Arabidopsis thaliana: one gene and its partner. The protein of the gene in region 1 interacts with the protein of each later gene in a pairwise test. Each region holds a gene or a part of one and is shown on either strand. Other genes may lie near its edges.

What was found.
Region 2: the proteins of AT5G57100 (region 1) and MLO5 interact in a protein complementation assay, tested with the Arabidopsis thaliana proteins (one large-scale study listed by BioGRID).

Annotation. Positions count from the first base shown.
Region 1 is NC_003076.8:23,107,274-23,111,198, forward strand, and holds the start of AT5G57100 (Nucleotide/sugar transporter family protein), read right to left. Parts: upstream 1,611-3,925; 5' UTR 1,168-1,610; coding exon 1,077-1,167; intron 883-1,076; coding exon 722-882; intron 624-721; coding exon 415-623; coding exon of another isoform or gene 321-414; coding exon 227-320; intron 111-226; coding exon 1-110. Other genes in the region: ACA8 (autoinhibited Ca2+ -ATPase), read right to left, coding at 2,456-2,466, 2,656-2,765, 2,885-2,976, 3,071-3,178, 3,263-3,397, 3,482-3,527, 3,630-3,730, 3,828-3,925.
Region 2 is NC_003071.7:14,242,868-14,246,792, reverse strand, and holds the start of MLO5 (Seven transmembrane MLO family protein), read right to left. Parts: upstream 1,843-3,925; 5' UTR 1,656-1,842; coding exon 1,512-1,655; intron 1,427-1,511; coding exon 1,369-1,426; intron 1,285-1,368; coding exon 1,079-1,284; intron 990-1,078; coding exon 873-989; intron 792-872; coding exon 734-791; intron 648-733; coding exon 559-647; intron 468-558; coding exon 393-467; intron 300-392; coding exon 211-299; intron 124-210; coding exon 74-123; intron 1-73. Other genes in the region: AT2G33655 (F-box and associated interaction domains-containing protein), read left to right, coding at 2,224-2,394, 3,306-3,455, 3,747-3,878.

The DNA of each region.
Region 1 (3,925 bases):
GCGCTTGGTATGATCCATGCGAATGCTACACAAGCACCAAACAGACTAAACTGTAAATCTGTTACAGTCGCAACCGCAACTCCCACAGATACAACTGTAAGTGATACCACCTGAAAAACATCAGCCACAAGGTTACTTACTATACCAAAGTTTTTCTCTTTGTTAACTCTATAAATCCAATTGACTACAAACAAATTGTGTGATAAAGAGAGAAAATCTCATTTACCTTCATGAAAGAAACTCTCTTTCTATACCACAAGAACTCTGCAAACACGATAGAAGGCGTAACAGCAATTTTCGCCATCTGGTAGAATCCAACACTGAGAAACAAAAACAACGAAGTGAGAAACAGTATGAGACAGAGCAATGTATGAAAACAAGGGAGAGCAAAAAAAGAGAGAATGTTTCCAAAACCTGTTATACTTAAGGCTAACATTAGCTAGTCCTGTAGAGAGTGACATTACAATGCCAAGAGTATAGAGCGGAAGCAACGATGATTTCGTGGAAGGCGGTGAAGCAGGAAGGAGCGAAAAGGATTTGAGAAGAGCCATTAGTAGATAAGCTACAATGTAGTGAATGAATGTGAGGAACACTGGAAACTCAAAGCCTATATTTTTAAGAACCTGCAATCAAAGAAGCAAAAAAAGCTGATTACTTTGATGTATTTAACACTAATGAAGATGTTAAAATGAGAGGTTGGTTAGTTAAAACTTAAAAGTACCCATTTGTTCATGAAGATAATGCTAATAGCAACAACGAAATTGAAAGTAAGAGCAACAGTTGGGCCACAGATACGATGTTGTTGTTGTTGCTGTCTCTTTGGAGTTTCCGGTGAACGGAATCTGTTGAATAACGATGCTCTCAAGTCCTCCAATGCTTTTCCTGAATTAGAGAAACCATTGTTACATAATCAAAATCAACTCTTTGGTGATAAAACCCTAATCTAAAAAAATTGGGGGTTTGCTATGATAAGATTGGATAATCAATCCTAAAAGGAACAAGAGATGTTTCAAAGGAAACGGTTATCAATCATAGAAGTCGAAATCGAAATTGAAAGTAAAAGTTTTGAAATTTACCTCGTTCACCAGCATCACTGTCTTTGCGTTTGAGGATCTTCTTCACATCTTGTCGAAGCCAAGAACTAAACATCTTAGGTGTCAGTAACATTTGTTGCTTGTTTCAAAAAGCTTTTTAGTTTGAGATTCGAATTCGAAACTCATAAGCCAAGAGGAGAGAAATCAACACTGACCCACATCTCGAAAAATCGTTCCTTTATGAGAAAGTGGAGAATCGAAAAAGGGTCTCTCTGTGTGTGTGGGGGTACTGACTACTGATGTTGTTGGTTTCTGAGATTAAGATTAGGGAGAAGAAGAAAGGAGACAAAAAGAGAGAAACACGTGGCGGAGATAACGGGAAGATGGAGATTGAAGAGAGTATTATTTTGGTGATTTGAGCAAATCACGGTTTCTTCACCGACCATTAAAAAAAACACAGAGGTAGTGAGTGTCTGGCTCTGTCACTTGAAAAGGAGAGGGAATGAGTAAACCAAACACTTTAGTAGTCTCTAGACTCTACTGTCTCTTCTTCTTGCTTTCACGCGTGAATTTTTTACCTATTTTATTTTTTCCGCGTTCTTTATTTTCAAAATAAAATTATAGAATGGGATAAACATTACATTAATTAACTATTCAACCGAGAAAAAGAAAAGAATATAATAATATCAGTCGACAGAAAAACAAAGGAAAGCTCTTTTGGCTTTTCATCGAGTGATTTCCGTATCCGATAATGAATATATGACGTGGCCAAACCTGTCTGACACGTAGGACCTATTTACGGTTTCTGTTAACCAGTTGTTCACAGTCTGTTCGATGTTTGTGTGGAATTGATTGATGTCTCCTTACATTCCAGATTCATATGCGGGTGTTGAATTGTTCGACATTAAAAATGTTTCCGGTGTTCGACATTAATCTTAAAATCGTGGTTGTTTTTAATTTTACAACAAACAACCTCGACTTTACTTCAACATTTTCATTAGTAATGCTTTGATTTATACTTCAATGTTTTCTCATGAGTATAACTTTCTTAACGACTATTGCATCCGTGTTCAGTAGGTGTAGTAATAATATGGCCAACAACGCTTTGCCACTTGAATAACTAGGTCACACTGAGAGTAAAAATTTTCCATTTTTTCGAATTTTGATTTCTTGGTTAAAATCTTTACCAGTAATGATTCGAAAGGTAGTCGATCATATTACAAAAAAAAAGACCAAAAAGAAAACCAGTAATCCAAAGTTGCTCGACCAACAAACCCCGAAAAACTGTACTTGGGGGGTTGGGTTTCCGAAAAATATCAATAAATCCATCATACCAAACCAAACGTTTTTTTTTCTGTTAGTCCTAAAAGAGTATCAAACAATCTCATCAGTGTCTGAGAGATAATAAACTGGCCTCCAAATCAGAGTGAACCTGAGAAAAAAATAAAAGCAAACTTGTTATTTTCAAATTTTCAAATTCATTTCAGTCCTGCATAAAGCTTAAACCAAATCCTTACTACAGTTTAAATTCAGGATAAGTTCTACTACACAAGCTGACCAACCCAAACTTTTCTTATGAATCTAGTTCAATTGATAATCACAAGCTGTAAGTTACTATTACCTTCTCCAGAAGAATTTTTCTTCTTGCCCCAGAATTTTAGTACTTTCAATTTGTTGCTTATAGGAGCTGCAGGCACCGGAATGAATTTCCCGACCAAAGCAAGAGGCCAACTGTTCAAATTACAAAGGTTCAACTATAACGTTAGTTATGTTTCAACAAGCATTGCACATATTATTTATAAATATGTATCAACATTTTCAATTGTAAACAATATTATAATGAAAGTGACCTGATAACACCGATGCCAACACAGATAAGCCATTGCTTCCAGTTTAGTTTCGTCGTGGAAGCGAATTTACCAAGGAACTCAACAATGATAACCTGGCAAACGAAAATAAGACGGTTTTGATTTAGAAATAAGAGTTTGTGAAATGTAACTTACTAAGTTTTTCTGATACACCAAATCATTATTTACCTGGAGCACAAGAGTTATGACTATTATTCCCATAAAGAGACGATTCTTGATCACACCTTTGAAGATGTTCTTCTCATCTGGTTTACGAGCATTGAACTCATTGAAAGCCTGTAAACAAAGAGTTCGATTAACATTTACGTTGACATTCTGGTTTTAATACAGTAAGGGAAGACTTTGATTTAATTAACTCACTTGGCAGAGAACAAAGGCGTTGAAGATTATTGTGTTCTTCACTCTAGTGGCGTGTTCATGCACTTCATGCTCCAGGCCAAGTATGCTTATGCCTCGGAAATTGAGTGTTAACAATACACTCACTTGATAAATAGCCTGAAAGAATCACATTTCAACTTTTTAGTAATATATAAGACGGGGTGATTTCAAATAACAGAGTCTATTCACTGATTTTTTTACCTGGATCAGCAAGTTTCTCCACATGATGTTGGTAATAAGAGGTTCTCTGCAAAAAGAAGTCGAAGCAAAGAAAGATAACAATAAGTCTATGTCTACAAAACCAAATGTTTTATTAAGTTTGAATGAGAGAAGGCGGAAAAAACAGTACTTTCTGCCAACTGGAGGCCTCCCCATGAGGTGATCAGTGGGTGGTTCAGTAGCCAAAGCCAATGCTCCAAGAGTGTCCATTATCAGATTAACCCAGAGAAGCTGTATGTTAAAGAAAACGCCAAATATATGAGCAAACTTATAATATTTAGAGAGAGAGAGATATTCAAAAAGAGCTAAATGCAACAGAAACTCAAACCTGCACAGCGGTAAGTGGAACGTCACCACTCGAAATAGCAGCTACAACATTAATTACGAGAGCGGCGACATTGACTGTGAGCTGAAATTGGATGAACT
Region 2 (3,925 bases), on another chromosome or scaffold:
ATACCGCGAACAATTAGCTTCTAAGCTTTGTATGTTGAAGAATATTACAACACAAGATTATAAAAAGACTAACCGTGAACATCAAAGAGCAAAAAGAGCATTACAAAGGCCCATAGCTCGGGACTGCATTACCAGAATGATTGTGAAATTGCATCCGAAAATGATGAATATAGGATCGTTGGTGTAAGAAGAAGAAGTATTAAGATGTACCTTATTCCCACGACTACCTTGAAGTCGTCTTCCAATGATCTTTTGATGTATTTTTGGAAATTAAACTTCATACCCGGTGCCAAATGGACCTAAGTAACCGAGGATTTTGGAAACATATCTCAAACAATGTTTTGGGGAGAAATTAATTAAAGAATGGTTTTGCATAATCTCAAGGAACTTACACTTATGAAACCATGACGCATTGTCAAATAATCAGATTTTCTGACAGATCTCAGCATTTGACGAAAGAAACACATCTACAAAACAGAGTAACAAGGAAAGTCTCTCTTGCTTTAGATACATAGAAACAAGAGATGGAATAATAAAAACAAACGATCAAAATCTTACAACGTAGAATGAGAATCTATTTTTGGCCCAAGGATTGACATGCTCTCTAACAAATGATGTCTCATGTGTGAGCCTAAACCTTGAAGGGTCTGTAAATTACACCAAAGTAATAAGAAATTGATATTCTTGTTTGAAATGTGAATGGCATCTGTAACTATAAGCTCAATAATCTAACCATTCATCATTTCATGATCATTTATGACTTCTTCCTCCCAAACTTTCCATCCACGAATCTGCATAATCCAACAATCAAAATCTCACAAACACATACACATTGCTACGACATTAAGTAAACATTATATATGCAAATATACCTTTGCTCGTCCAAGCATCATGGTAATAGCACTATAAATGACATGAAACACAGCCAAGAAAAAGATGAAGATATGCACTTGATGCAACGCGTTGAGTGATATAAGCGGTACATAGCCCTGCATACATCAAAAACATTCATCTTCATCAATTTCAACCATGTTATCTAATTAAGCAAAAAAAAAAATATATATAGAAAGATTTTGACCTTCTTGCACTGAGCTGGAGCAGCATCAGCCAAAACACGACGTTCTAAGTGTTCGGTAGTCTTTGGCTTCTTAGACTCACCACTTGGACCATCGTATGGACCACAAAAGGACATCGCATGGCCGTATCTTGACGCCACACACAAACTTGCTATGTAGTTTTGTCCAAATGTTAATAACAAAGAAATGAATCCCAAAACCATAAGCTCTGCAAAATCAATAACACAAAAAGTTCTAAAACTTGTAACCCACGAAAAAAAAAAAAAAAAAAATCAATTGGAGGGTTTGGTACCGTTCTTGATCTTTTGAAGCGCTTCGTACAAAGCTTTCTTCCTTCTTTCAGTGAAAACCTGCGAAAGAACAATCAATGACTGGTGTAATAAGAAATCATAAAATGTAGAGCAATCTTTGAGAAATTGTGTTAGTTTTTATTACCTCTCCGATTTTGTGAATCATGAGCTCTAGAACGATAGAGATCAAGATGATAACGCCACAAACAGTGGAGACGGCCCATGTCGGTGTCTGATCGAGCTCTCTAGGACCTTCTCCAGAAGTGCTACCACCTCCTCCTCCAGCCATTTTTTCTTTAACGAAATTGTTTTTTTCTTATGTACCTTGTCTTATATGTTTTTTTTTTATATACGACTATCAATATTTATATCTTCTACGGCCAAGAAACGGCGGTAACATGCAAAGAAGGAAGATGTCTCCGTCGTTCCGCTAGACGGATTCCGGTGATGGTGATTTTCTGGTTTTTTTTTTTTTTTTTTTTTTTTTTGGGTTTTATTTTTCTTGTTTTGGAAACTTTTGCTCTGTTTGTCCATTGTGTAGCTGTAATGGTTTTGAATCGGAAATGTAGGGAGATGAACGACTTTGCGGATTTATGGGAAATTTCAATAAAAATATTTAAGCAGAGTTCAAAAAAATAAAACAGGAAAACAAAATACGCCGTTGCCGGGGATCGAACCCGGGTCACCCGCGTGACAGGCGGGAATACTTACCACTATACTACAACGACTTTGTTGCTACGTTAGTTTTATTTACTTATTTAATTTTAATCTATAAACTGAGACGTGGGATATAAGAAGAAACCCTAATTCTACTACAACGATCTTTGTTGATTGTTGAAACCATAAAAGAAAAAAATATGGAGAAGATGTCCGATCTTCCCCGGGAATTGGTAGAGGAAATACTCTCAAGGGTTCCAGTGAAATCGATGAGAGAAGTCCGAGTGACTTGCAAAACGTGGAACGCTTTATCAAAGCACATTAGTAAAGCAGAAGCTGCAAGGGAAGGAGAGTTTCTTGGGATCGCGAAGGTGTGGAACAGGGTTTATTTAAATAGTGTCAATCTCCATGTTCTTATGTTCCAAAGTTCTTTCTTACATACAGAAAAAGGGGATTTCTTTCTTACATGTTCTTATGTTCCAAGTTCAGTGTTCTTTTGAGTTTTGGATTTGATAAGAAACGTTAGAAATTTTTGTTTGTTACAGTTTGACATCAATTCTGCTTGTTTTCCTAATATCAGAACCAGGACCAATTAGCTAGCTGGCAAGTGGTCACTCAGCCAGCTACTGTATACTCCGATGAAAGAAAACAGAGGCAGAATCAACCTTAACAAGTAACAAACTTTGTTAGAAACATACATAGAAGAAATTTGCCGCCATAAGACATACAAAGCTGATGTAGTTCGACAGAGCTTGCTAACTGCTAAGCATATGGGGTGGGGTTATATGCTATATGCTATATAATTATACATTGTACATAGATAAAAAAAAAGTCTTTCTTGAGCTTATTTAGTTCCAACTCCTTTTGATGAACTCAGCCTTCTTTGACAACTTGAAGCATACATGTTCGTTTTTGTTGTTTTGTACTCCTCTAAGAGCACTACATGATGAAGGAAAGCTTCACTTGAAAAATTAATGTTTCTTTTAAACTTGTAAGTAAAGGAGTCTTCTTCTCTTCCTATGAGATAACTTTCTCTTGGTGACACCATTTTCTTTTTGCTATTTTGAAGAATATTTCCGGTGAATTATACAGTTTTTAAAATTCTTTCTACTCAGATATGTTACAAATTAAACCAACAAAACTGTCACATTACCAAGAAAAAAAAGAAAAAGAGAAATAAGAAACAAAATTACCTGAAAGGAATTGGTGTGGGTGTGGTGTTGAGAGTCAAATAACCATGTCAATGGGTTTCCTCTAGCCCTTGTGCTATAATCAGTCCCAGAAGAAGTTTTGCCGTAATTCATTCTTGTTGTTTTCTATTCCTTGGCTGCGTGTTCTTATTGTTGTTGATTTCAGTAATGCAATGAAGGATGCTATGAAGGATGCTATGAAGGAGATACGATCGTCTTTTCAGGCTATGAGGTTGATTGTAGTGTGTTCTTTTGTTTCTATGTTTTGGAAACTTTTGCTCTGTTTGTTCTTTGTGTAGCTCTAATGGTTTTGAATCGGAAATGTAGAAAGATGAACGACACAGCGGATTTGTGGAAAATTTTCAAAATAAAAAAGACGCCTTTGCCGGGGATCGAACCCGGGTCACCCGCGTGACAGGCGGGAATACTTACCACTATACTACAACGACCTTGTTGCTACGTAAATCTTATTTAACATTTTAATTGTAATTGTAATTGTAAACTGAGACGTGACTCTGCCTCTGCCGTTTGAGGCTAATTATGATATTGCGACTCTATCTGCATTTGGAGAAGAGCAGCTTGCAGTTTTATTTCAACCTTTTGAAGGCTATGTGATGGAGATTTGGGTTACGACTAAGATAGAGCCTAGTGCCGTGAGTTCTTAGCGGTTGTTGATATGATTTATGAAACCACTATATGATGGGAGTGGTGT